3 linked regions of the Arabidopsis thaliana genome follow. The protein of the gene in region 1 interacts with the protein of each later gene in a pairwise test. Each region holds a gene or a part of one and is shown in the gene's direction. Other genes may lie near its edges.

Evidence for each region. The genes of interacting proteins can lie anywhere in the genome.
Region 2: the proteins of PP2CA (region 1) and RCAR3 interact in a two-hybrid assay, tested with the Arabidopsis thaliana proteins (3 studies listed by BioGRID).
Region 3: the proteins of PP2CA (region 1) and AT3G56270 interact in binary tests that used the Arabidopsis thaliana proteins (3 or more experiments, as listed by UniProt).

What each region holds. Positions count from the first base shown.
Region 1 is NC_003074.8:3,583,227-3,587,427, reverse strand, and holds PP2CA (protein phosphatase 2CA), read left to right. Parts: upstream 1-1,577; 5' UTR 1,578-1,778; coding exon 1,779-2,222; intron 2,223-2,307; coding exon 2,308-2,643; intron 2,644-2,735; coding exon 2,736-2,841; intron 2,842-2,933; coding exon 2,934-3,247; 3' UTR 3,248-3,646; downstream 3,647-4,201. UniProt on the Arabidopsis thaliana protein: Major negative regulator of abscisic acid (ABA) responses during seed germination and cold acclimation. Confers insensitivity to ABA.
Region 2 is NC_003076.8:21,558,819-21,563,210, forward strand, and holds RCAR3 (regulatory components of ABA receptor 3), read left to right. Parts: upstream 1-1,782; 5' UTR 1,783-2,207; coding exon 2,208-2,345; intron 2,346-2,626; coding exon 2,627-2,842; coding exon of another isoform or gene 2,843-2,922; coding exon 2,923-3,135; 3' UTR 3,136-3,891; downstream 3,892-4,392. Other genes in the region: FTSH11 (FTSH protease 11), read right to left, coding at 4,205-4,354. UniProt on the Arabidopsis thaliana protein: Receptor for abscisic acid (ABA) required for ABA-mediated responses such as stomatal closure and germination inhibition.
Region 3 is NC_003074.8:20,868,355-20,872,608, forward strand, and holds AT3G56270 (WEB family protein (DUF827)), read left to right. Parts: upstream 1-1,645; 5' UTR 1,646-1,865; coding exon 1,866-2,066; intron 2,067-2,360; coding exon 2,361-3,500; 3' UTR 3,501-3,753; downstream 3,754-4,254. Other genes in the region: AT3G56260 (uncharacterized protein), read right to left, coding at 1-438.

The sequences.
Region 1 (4,201 bases):
ACTTGAACCCGAAGATTTACTATATTGGATCCTAAATTTTTTAATCCAAAAAATCTAAGTCGAATCCGAAAATACCGGTATTTTATTCGAAAATCTAAATTTATTCGAAATCTAAAATTTTATCCAAAAATTCAGGTATTTACTCAAAAATTCGGATATCGGTTCTAAAAGGACCCTGAAAATTTATATCCAAACCGATTAAAAACCGATTGGATACAAACTTAAACCAAACCGATATTTTGGATTTATCCCATTGAATCTTAAACTTTTATATCCAAAAAAATCATATCTAATCGGGTTTTACCCGAACTTAACCCAAATGCCCACCTTTAATTATTCAAAACCAAAAAAGAAGTGTTTGATGCTGAGGTTTGAACTCATCAGATACACGTAACTATTTTCCAATTTATTTTCGTTTATGTGCATTTCAGAATTTCAAGCATAAATATACTCTTATTGTTTAAACATTTCAAATTGCATGTGTGAAATAATATCAGAGTTAGAATATATGTTAATCTTCTCTTCTCCTAGATTCAGTTAGATACGTTTCTATCTTCTTTTAGGCAACATCTCTTGTACAAATAGTCTCTTTGGCAATTCAATACAATCAACCTTTTACGATATATATATTTGTTATTTCTTGTACAAATAGGATCAAAATTGTTATTTCTGAAGCAAATTTTCTTTAGTTTGGATGTCAATTATATCCTCGATTAATATGTAATCACGGAACGGATTCACGATGCGTTATTTTAGAAGCAAATTTATACTTGATAGTACGTTCAGAGGCATCGCTTTTGTACAAATTGAAGCGGGTTTGTTCAATATTTAAAATAACACAGGAAACATTCAAATGTATTATTGATGTTGCTTAGGTTTGTGAAATGATATGAACCATATCGTATATATTACTAGATTTTTCTTATATGTTTTAAGGGTAGTGGGGCTGACCTATCATTCTGTTTGGCATTACCAATCAGACTATCAGAGTATTCACCATTCAGGATTCCATAACTAGAAAAAGAAGGGGTTTACATTTTCTCATACTGTATAATTTTCTACTATCAGAGATTTTATCGATTACATTAATCTCATAGTGATTATTCTGATTTATAAAAAAGTTGACAAAATAATTAAAACCAGTATTTTATAACAAGATTGTCTCTCTCCCATGGCCATTATTTTGACCTCTGACTTATTTAAATCTTAATTAACAGCATAATACTGTATTAAGCGTATTTAAATGAAACAAAATAAAAGAAAAAAAGAACAAAACGAAAGAGTGGACCACATGCGTGTCAAGAAAGGCCGGTCGTTACCGTTAAGGTGTGTCGAACTGTGATTGGGCCACGTTAACGGCGTATCCAAAAGAAAGAAAGGGCACGTGTATAGATCTAGGAAAAAAGAAAGAATGGACGGTTTAGATTGTATCTAGGTACCAGGAAATGGAACGTCACACCAAACGGTACGTGTCGGATCCTGCCCGTTGATGCTGACGGTCAGCAACTTCCCCTTATTCATGCCCCCCTGCCCGTTAATTACGTGTAACCCTTCCATGCGAAAATCAAACCCTTTTTTTTTTTTGCGTTCTTCTTCAACTTTTCTTTTTAAATCAAACCTTTTCTTTTTAAAATCACATTGCATTTCCTAACGCTCAACAAAATCTCTCTCTACTAATATCTCTCTCTCTCTCTCTCTATTGTTGAAGAAGACTCATAATCGGAGATTGTTTGTTTTTGGTTTGCTCTGTAAATTGGAGAAGTTTTGTTAGAGATCAAATGGCTGGGATTTGTTGCGGTGTTGTTGGAGAGACTGAACCGGCGGCACCGGTTGATTCAACTTCTCGAGCTTCTCTTAGACGGAGGTTAGATCTACTTCCGTCGATCAAAATTGTTGCTGACTCCGCCGTTGCTCCTCCGCTTGAAAACTGCCGTAAACGGCAGAAGCGTGAGACAGTAGTGCTCTCGACGTTACCGGGAAATCTAGATCTGGATTCGAATGTGAGGAGTGAGAATAAGAAGGCTAGATCAGCGGTTACGAATTCAAATTCTGTTACGGAAGCAGAGAGTTTCTTTTCCGATGTACCTAAGATCGGTACGACGTCGGTTTGTGGTAGAAGACGAGACATGGAAGACGCTGTCTCGATTCATCCTTCGTTTCTTCAACGGAACTCTGAGAATCATCATTTCTACGGTGTCTTTGACGGCCATGGCTGCTCTCATGTACGTTAATTTCCTCTGTTTAGTAATATTTTTTTCTTTTGTTTGTGATTAGTTACTAATTAGGGTTTTGTTTGGTTGATTTTAGGTTGCGGAGAAGTGCAGAGAACGGTTGCATGATATAGTGAAGAAGGAAGTTGAAGTTATGGCTTCCGACGAGTGGACAGAGACGATGGTTAAGAGTTTTCAAAAAATGGATAAAGAAGTTAGCCAACGAGAGTGTAACTTAGTTGTTAATGGTGCTACTCGGAGTATGAAAAATTCTTGTAGATGTGAATTGCAGTCTCCTCAGTGTGACGCCGTCGGATCCACCGCTGTTGTATCGGTTGTCACGCCGGAGAAGATCATTGTTTCTAATTGCGGTGATTCACGGGCTGTGCTTTGTCGTAACGGTGTAGCCATTCCTCTCTCCGTAGATCACAAGGTAGTTAAAATTATGTCTTATATAGAATTACGAATTGGTTAGTATGAATCAAGATGGCATGGTTCTAAGAGTTTTTGTTTTGTGATGAACAGCCGGATCGACCCGATGAATTGATTCGGATCCAACAAGCTGGTGGGCGAGTTATATATTGGGATGGAGCTAGGGTTCTTGGAGTTCTTGCCATGTCTAGAGCAATTGGTGAGTGAATCTCTCTTGTGATTTGACTTTTTAGGCTATTTTGAATTACACGTTTGAATTTAATCTGATGATTATTGTTTTTGTTTGTATAGGTGATAATTACTTGAAACCGTATGTGATTCCGGATCCGGAGGTAACAGTGACGGATCGAACTGATGAGGATGAGTGTTTGATCTTGGCGAGTGATGGACTATGGGATGTTGTACCAAACGAGACGGCGTGTGGCGTGGCTCGCATGTGCCTTCGAGGTGCTGGTGCGGGTGACGACTCAGATGCGGCGCACAATGCGTGCTCCGATGCGGCGTTGCTCTTAACAAAGTTGGCTCTAGCAAGACAGAGCTCCGATAACGTGAGCGTCGTTGTGGTTGACTTGAGGAAGAGGAGGAATAATCAAGCGTCGTCTTAATAATTAGTGTTATAATTAGTAGTAGTATTAGAATAATTGTTACATAGCCTAATTGTAATTGTATTCTTTTTATTTTTCTATTTTAGTTTTTCTCATTTTAAGGTGTTTTTTCTTTTCTATTTTAGTTAGCTCTTAATTCAGGCTGGGGAAGAAAAAGAGCTGATTAAATAGTTTGAGTATTTTTCTTATTTTTCTATTCAGGTAATATTATACATGTATTCTTTTAGTATGGTCGTTGGAAATGTAATAATCTAATTCAGAGGGGAAAAATGTTAAAATGAAAGAACAGATTATGCGTATTTACCATTTTAAAACTTCGGTTAATGTTATTCGATCCGAACTGGTTTAGTATGAGTCTCGACGATGATTTGAATCCAAACCGGTTACTTACTAATCTTCCCCTATCTTAAGAAGATTTTATTTATTTTATTGGTATGGGGTCGTATGGGAGACTCGCGTGTCGTAGACCGCGGCATTTTAGCACATAATTGTAATTAAAAGATTCAAGGATAATATTAGAAACATAAATCAACAAAAATATATATATATCTTGGTGGAAGAGACTAATCTGGACAATCAATATAAGAACTAGAAAGTACAATGATTTATTAATTCTTTTAATACTAATGAAGATAGTTAAGTTAAGAGACTTGTCTGGCAACATTGTCGAATGCTTAATGTCAGTTAAGGTCGGAATCAATAATCAATTAAACAGATTTTGATTAAATTGACTAGAAAATATCAACTAGGAGGGTAAGAAAAAGGAATATGATCTTCACATTCTTTTATAAATAAATTAATATCAACTTGAACAAAAAATAATACATACTTTTAACCGTCCATTACTAGCCACTTGCCAGTTGCCACAATGACCAGATAATAAAATCTTATTCTATTCAATCATGTTTTTATAAACCCTTCACATTAATGTTTGTTAGGTATTAATCATACGTT
Region 2 (4,392 bases), on another chromosome or scaffold:
ATTTTCGAGAATACTTTAGCACGTTACAAAGTTAGCAACGAATTTTCTTTTTCTAGATATGACTTATAAGAGCCAAACCTTTTTATGTTATAGAAATCTTTGTCACTTTGAGATACTTTTATTCAGGATTTAATAAAGAGTGTTGGATAAAGCACGTGGGACCTTTTGCTCTCTCGAGATTGGCTCTTCGAGTCAGGAAAAGTTAAGACTGTGAAGCAAACCCTATATATGATACTGTATACAATATATTTTTTGGATAAAGGATTGTGTAAATTAAATGATCAAACTATATACTTACTATTCTGGCCTTAGTGGTTATAAGATACTAATATTATACTGTAAATGATCAAAACAAGATACTATTGTCAGAATGCGAAAAAATAAAGCGAAGTCCAACTTAATAGTTTACGAACTTTTACTTCATATTATGAGTCGAATGAGAGTGAATACTGGAATTGGTGATGATGCAGAAAACCGGATTAGACGAAACAAAGAGAACATAATACAAATCATTGGTATGGAACTGACAAAACGTACGAAACAATCGATGTTAAATGGTTAGAATAAAATTTGGATGATAACCATAATAACTGCAGTGCATGTATAATCATTAAATTTTAGCTATTTTTAATACTTGGAATAATAGATGTTTACTATTTTTATCATATACCTAAAGAAGTTCTTGTAATTTGTACTTAGTACCTGATTTGTCGTTCTAATCCTAAAAAAAGATTTGGTCCTTTGTAGTTTGCTTCAAAGGCCCCGAATCTGCATTGATCATGGTCTGGCTCGGGGGTGTTAAGCACACTTTTAACTAGTGATTATATGTCTAATTGGGACATCAATATACCTCCATGCACCTAGTAATGTGACCATCCGTATAATATGTGTACTATCTCTTCTTCAGCTAAAGGTTAACGAGCATAATCTGGTTAAGCCCTATGTTTGGTTTGCATTATAACAATCTCTCTGAAATTTTGTAGTATTTTCATCAATTTAAATTAGTATATTTTCGACAATTTGAATTGTTCTTTGAGTCTGATCACAGTCAAGTACACGAACTATATGCTGATCTGATCGAATTCATTCTACTATATACACACACATACACAAACATTTTACAGTACACCACTAATACTATAATCCCAATAACAAGAAAACCTAAAATATAAGTACACATTAACAAAAGAAAACAGTTTGCAAGTTATTAAGTGGTTTTTGGATTTGGTTTATAGTTTTTAGATTTTTGCATTAATTATATATATATATATATATATATATATATATATATATATATATATATATATTTGAAACTAAATATGAAAAAGTTATAGCGTTAAAAAGTGAAAAACCAATGAAACATAGATTTTAGATTTCCTTTAAAAATCTAGATTCCTTATTTTTATAAGGAAAACCATTTCTCCCAATCTTAATTGGCTATAAAGTAGATTTTTGGAAAAAACTTAAGCCATAAACAATTTCAAAAAATCTATAACCATTTCAAAATCTTTAATCCTTTTTTTTTTTTGTCAAAACAAGTCTTTTATCCAAATGAAAAAGCACCCAAGAAAAAAAAAAAAAAAACTATCCAATAATTGAGTCAGCTCTCATAGGCTTAAACAATACTTTAAGGATCAACATTAAATAATTACCACACTTGAGGGGTAAAACTAAAAACGGTAAATAAAACACAGAAAAACGACAACGAGGGGCAAAATCGAAAATAAAGAGAAAATAGTGGGATAATAGAAGAAAGCATCCAATGAGAGTAGTGAAATCAGAGAAAGACCTTTACTCCTTTAGTCCAATACCATCCAATCAATCTTTTTCTTTTTTTTTATAAAAATCTCTCACTGAGTCTTTTTATTTAAATATTATAAAAAGGAGAGAGAAAAAAAGTTTGTTGGAGGATTCGTCTCTCTCTCTCTCTCTTTCTCTTTCTCTCATCTTCTTCTTATCTCCCTCCAAAGACGGCGACTGTATAATCTATCATTTCTTCACAGTAACGCTTTCATCGGAAGATCTCGCCGGAAAAAAACTTCTCTCTGAGATCAGATCTCTTACGATTCTCAGCTCAATCTTATCTTTTCCTTTGTTGTGCTGCTTTTCACTCTCTTCTGCGCGACGAATTTGGCCTTGTTTTTTGTTTGTTTGTCGTATCCGACGCGGAGGTATTGAGAAACCGTGGCTTAAGACGGAGGAAGAAGATGGAAGCTAACGGGATTGAGAACTTGACGAATCCGAATCAGGAAAGAGAGTTTATAAGGAGACATCATAAGCATGAGCTTGTGGATAATCAGTGTAGCTCTACGCTTGTTAAACATATCAACGCTCCTGTTCATATTGTAAGCTTCTCCCTTCTTCTTCTTCCTTCATGCGCTCTGATTTTCTCTGTTTAAGTTAATCGGTTCTTCTTATTGTTGATTCAATCCAGAATTTGAAATCTCTCTCTATTTTCATCGATTGTTGATCTTACTGATGAAGAATCGATTGGTTTCTAATTATTGAAAGCTTACATAGCATTTGTGTAATCCCAATCTGAGTTTGTTTGATCTGGTTTTGCTTTATTGGAAAAAAAAGCTCCCAAAAACGCTTATGGATTAGTTTGAATCTCTCTGGTGAATAGGTGTGGTCACTTGTGAGAAGATTTGATCAGCCACAGAAGTATAAGCCGTTTATCAGTAGATGTGTGGTGAAAGGAAACATGGAGATTGGTACAGTAAGAGAAGTTGATGTGAAATCTGGACTACCAGCAACTAGAAGCACTGAGAGATTGGAGTTACTTGATGACAATGAGCATATTCTCAGTATCAGAATCGTTGGTGGTGATCATAGACTTAAGGTAATCAATGAATCAAAAGGTTCGTTTTCTGTTTACAGTGAATCAAAGACTTATATGTTCTATATTGTTTTTGGATTTAGAACTATTCTTCAATCATCTCTCTTCACCCCGAGACTATAGAAGGAAGAATAGGAACACTTGTGATTGAGTCATTTGTGGTTGATGTACCAGAAGGAAACACAAAGGATGAGACTTGTTACTTTGTTGAAGCTTTAATCAAATGCAATCTTAAATCTTTAGCTGATATCTCTGAACGTCTTGCGGTTCAAGACACGACAGAATCGAGAGTCTAAAGATCAAAGGAGTAAGAAACTATTGAATCAGAGAGATTTTGGTTGCCATGGATGAAGCTCTCAAAGGGAAAAAGAGAGAGTGGGTGAGTTTCTTTGAGGATGGACAAGGCAAAAAAAGTATCATCATTTATCCAGTTACATAATAAGTTTCTCATTTGCTATTTTTGGGGTCATTTCACTTTCAAACCCTCTTTTTAATTTCATGTGTCTAATTTAATGAATGTGTTTTTGGTTTCTTCTCTATAGAACCAAAATATGATTTTGGAGTTTAGCTTTAGCAACTTGCAGGAATCTTTTTACAATTTGCAGAGAAGACATGTTAAAAGTGTGTGTGATCATGGGGTTCCACTCTCTTCTTCCTTTTTTAACACTTTTAGTTGCACCCATAAAGGCCACACACCGTCTTTCTTATATTTATTTTTTCTACTTTTAAAGATGAACCAATAGGGTTTGTGAGATGTGAAAAATCTCCACAAAGGACCATTAAGGAAAGAGATCTTTGTTGTTGTTTATAGATTTTGTCTTGACTTGTGATTGGGGAAACACACTTTAGCTCCATTAGCTGTAAAAAGTTTTGTATACTATTTTTACAATGCCAAAGTGTTTCTGTTTCTTTTTTCCTAAATTACAGTAGTGGATAAATATTCGAATCGGTCACATTGACAGGTGGTATCATTAGAATTGCTTCTATATGTTTTCTTTCAATTTTGTTCCAAACAATACATGTAATTTCATCAGAGGACCTTGTAAGCTGCAATAAGATTCATTGGCTTTCAAAATCACATCAGAGAATAAAGACAACAATTATTACTTTCTTTTCAATGTTGTTTTACATTTTTCTTCATAGAATTGAACAGAATGTCAAAAAGGGCAAAAGGTTCAAGGTCGAAGCGAAAACTAATGAGCTAATGAAATAAAAACTACAATAATTTTGTAACATGAGATCAATAATTTCATATGTTTTTCTTTTGGTTGTTGTTGTAGAAGCTATGGGAGATTTACTCTGTACAAAGCTTTGAATCTCCCTTTTTCACCCAAAGAAGTGTGTTTATGGTAATGAATGATGTGATTAGGCCAATACCAAGTCTCCTTCTTCTTGTTGTTGCTCTTCAAATTTCTCGCCTTCCTGCTTTGGAAGGAGAATACGCTTTATGTCCTCTGCGGTTAGCGTTTCATACTCTAGAAGTGCGTTTGCTAACGTGTGTAGCTGCTTCTCATGCTGGGGAAACACACACACACACACACACACACACACAC
Region 3 (4,254 bases), about 17 Mb from region 1:
TGGTGAAGACCTAAGCTCATCCTCTTCGTAGTTAGCGTACAGAAGTGGCGATTTTTTGTCGTGACTCATACGTTTTTTCAAAGAATGTGGTGGCGAGGAGGAAAAGGAAGATGAAGATGACGTAGAAGACCAAGAAAACGATGAGCTTGCCGTCTTCTTGCTACCGTGATTGCTCCTCCTGAGATCACTGAACATGGAGAAGGACAGAAACTTACTTAGTTTTGATCTCACCTTGCTTTGCGTCCTTGGTGTCGACAAAATCCCGGAGGAGTAGTATGAGGGCGGCGGTGTGAGAGGCAGAGGAAGAGAGGAATCGGAGCAGAGGTGGTTTTTGGGTGTTCCTGGCCTTGACTCCCATATGAATGGTATGGAGGCTCCGCCATAGTAGGAGGATCTCTCTTCATCGATTGCAAAGTCATCTTCTAGTCTTTCTGACATCTGTTTTTTATAAACTCTCGGTTTATGTTTGAGTCGGCTTTTGATGAGAATTGATGTACGAAAATTGAAACAACAAGTGCTAGTTTCGAAGCTTCTTTAGAGGTGACAAAGAGTAATATGTATTGCGAGTAAAACAAGTTTGCCGATGAAACAAAAGAATCTTCTTTGCACGGTTGTATATAATCGTGGATATTTATTCTGCTTTTTTATTTTCTTTAGGAAAAATTCATATGGATGAGCATATTACAAGTATATGGAAGATCATACATAGGGGAAAAAATTGGTTAGATAATAAATGAAAGGTGGCTATCTTACTGTATGCATTACTTAATGCGTTTTCATTAATAATAAGAGAGTCGTGAGGTGAGGATCACATTATTGGTAAACAGTTACTGTAGTAAGCATTGCTTAGAGTATTTAATATGTTACCTTTTGTGGGATTCCACTCTATAAACCTTTTTATTTGGTGTTCTTATAATTAAGGAAATAATTATTGACCAACAAATCCACACGTTTTAATATATATCAAGACTACTAACCTTGTTTGTCGTAATTTGAAACTACTGACCAAAAGTTTGGGGCATGTTCATCCAAAAGATATAATGGTTTACATTTAATGAAATGATAATTTAGATAGGATATAATAGGGAACTACTCAGAGTGTCAGACCAAACCATCTGAATACGTACCAATGTCAAGTGCTAACTGGTAACTCCCAACAATAGTAATTAGAAAAGATATATATATTTGTCGGTTCTAATTAGTTGGAAGAAACGTATGCGGAGAAATAAATAGAAACGTGAGAGATCGAAAGACGACGGTGATGAATTTGGACGGTTGAGTGAGGGAGGTCGTATAATTTAATGGTCGTTTCCAATCGTATTCGTACGTGGTCCGTTTTCTCCTACTCGGATTTTGCTTTAATGTGATGGCCACACAAATTGGTTAGAAAACTATAAGGGAAAGCTCCACCTATTTATTTCACTCATACATTTACTATACACTAATATCGCACGGGAAAATTATAACAATTTTCGGATATTCGTATTTGAACAGAAACAAACAACACATACGTAAGAATTTCCTTCACAAAAAAGCCCAATATAGACGAACTTGAACTTCGTACCAACGGCCCAATATCGCTTCCTTAATCAACGGCCCAAAATTTTCATTTATTAATTAATCAGATAACCAATCAATAGAAGCCACGTCGCCACAGCCATTAGTAGTAGCATCATCAAAGCCTGCATTCTTGTTCTTCGAGTCTCTCTCGTGAGTGACTTTCATTACCGAGAAAAACACAATCATAGAGAAGCTCTCAATCTTGTTTGCTTCTGATCAGTAACTATGATTACTGTAAATAGATCACTCTTTCATTATCTTTCCCTTTCACTTGTACAAACCAATTCGTTCTCGAGCTAACGGAAATGGCGGAGAGGCAACAGAGCCCTGCGGCGGAGACGATTCCCGGTACACCCGTAATCCGGGAAGTGAGAACCGGAACCGGGTCCGAGAATTTCAACCCGGAGAATACAAGGAGAGGATGCTTGAGAGCTGAAATCGACATTTCTCCACAGTTATATGGTGGTCGTGGGTTCTGGGTTCCCTTCAATCTTGAAGACAATTACGTGAGTTCTCTTCTAGTTTCCGATTTACAAAGTCTGTTCATTTAAAGTTTGAGCATTAATGTCACTGAAAGTTTGAAATGTATGTTCTCTAACTGTTAAGTATGCTAACAAACTGAATAACTGATAGCTGATTCGATTTGGTTACTGAGTAGATATTTTGTAATAAGTGATAGCTAATTTGATGTTTGCATTTGCGGCAATTGATTCTGGAACTAGCAAGATGTTATGTAAGATTTTTTTTTGGTATTATATAGCATGATTTGTTTTATGTTTTTTTGGTTTGTCATTCTTCAGGACTGTGTGGGAGAATTTGACATAAAGAGAATGGAAGAACAGACAGTGGAGCTTGAGAAGGATCTGATTATGAAAGAGTTAGAGACTCTGGATCTTCTTGAAGCTCTTGGATCAACCAAAAGGATTTTTGAAGATTTGAAGTGGCAGCTTCAGCAGCAAGCACTGAGATGCAAGGAGACCCCTCAACATTTGCGTTCACACTCCAAAGAGATGGTCGATGAGCACTGCCATCGTAATCCCCTGAAGTCTCCGGATCTGATGACCATGGAAATGAAGCAAGCTGGTATGAATCTTTGTAAAACCATGGATGATCTTGCGTTGATCCACTCTTATGCTGAATCTCTGAATATGAAAACGAAGGAAGAGAAAGATGTCCTTGGAGTAGCGTCTCTAGCGGAGGAACTTAACAGTTTGAAGTTTAAACCAGCAGGTCCTGATCAAGTAGAGAGATTCAATACCGAGAATTTACCAGTGAATCCACAATGTGAACAGATTAAGATGGTAGTTGAAACCTATGATACAGCTTTCCATAAACAGAGCAAAACCTGCCCGAGAACTGCAGATATGAGATTGGTTGCTGCAAGAAAAATGGAAGAGGCAGCAAGAGCAGCGGAAGCACTTGCGCTTGCTGAAATGACCATATTATCCAGCAGAAGAAACCAAGACGCTCTCTGCTTCCCTAAGACACCATGTTTTCCATTAACACTTAAAGCACAGATGAACAAAGAATTATCCACCAATGTCTCAAGAATAGAGATCTTGAGGAAGCTGGAGGAAGCTAACGAAGAAGTTAAACAAAGTAAACAAGCCTTGGAAGTTGCGTTAAACCGGGTAGAAATCGCTAGTGTGAAGCAACTTGAAGCAGAAGAGGCATTTCGGCAGTGGAACATAGAGTCATGGAAAGACCAGAAAGCTGTTGGAGCAAAACGCTCGATGAAAAGAGAAAGCTTTCCTCAGCGCTCTTTCTTGAGCCATATCAATCAGCACGAGCCACTGATCGATCTCCCTGAGCCAATGCTGAAACGTAACGTCTCAATGGGTAATGCTCTTAACCGAAAAGATGAGAAACAGTTGGTCACGCCGAGGAGAAAGTTTAGGTTCATACAAACACATCAAGCTTCCATTAGAAAAACAGAGTAAGCTAAAAAAATACCCAACCTTTGAAAACATGTTTTGCACATTTCGATTCCTGTTTTTTTTTATTCTTGGTTTGATCATTGATGGGTGTTGTTGCTTCCATCAAAAGCAAAACACAGATGATTAGAGTGAGATGTGTTGTTTTGACTCAAATGTGACAAAAAGAAAAACATTATAGTAAAAACTAAAGCTTCTAGTAATCATAATTAATTATGGGAGTTAGTGAAGGGCATTGATCATATGATTTAGGTGGTGGGCACTTTCTTAACTAATGCATTTTAAGTGTTAGATTAGCTAATTAGGTGATCCATAATCAATACCGTAGGTCCTCAACTGTTTATTTTTTAATAACGTTGGTCTTTATAATGTTTCTAGATTCTCAAAATAGAAACTGAAACATTCAGGTTGAACTACGGAGATAAAAACACATTTTACGATTTGACCAGTTTGTACTTTATACTGTATAAGTTTGGAGTGGTCAGATACAGAATGATGACGTGGTCAAGGCTTTTAAGACAATCTAGATATCTCCAATAACTTAATGCCACGTGTTTTAGTCTTCACAACAAAGATTTCGTCTGGAATCCTCGTATTGGCTTAGAGCGTGGGACCAAACGAAACCAAAAGAAGGAAAAGGAACTAAATAAATAAATAATTAAAAAATAAAGTTGAAAAGTAAGAGTGGCGTGGGTTAGCAAAATCATTGTCTCAGGCTAAAATGTGCCACTCCCAACACGTGGGCTACTCTTTTCCAAGT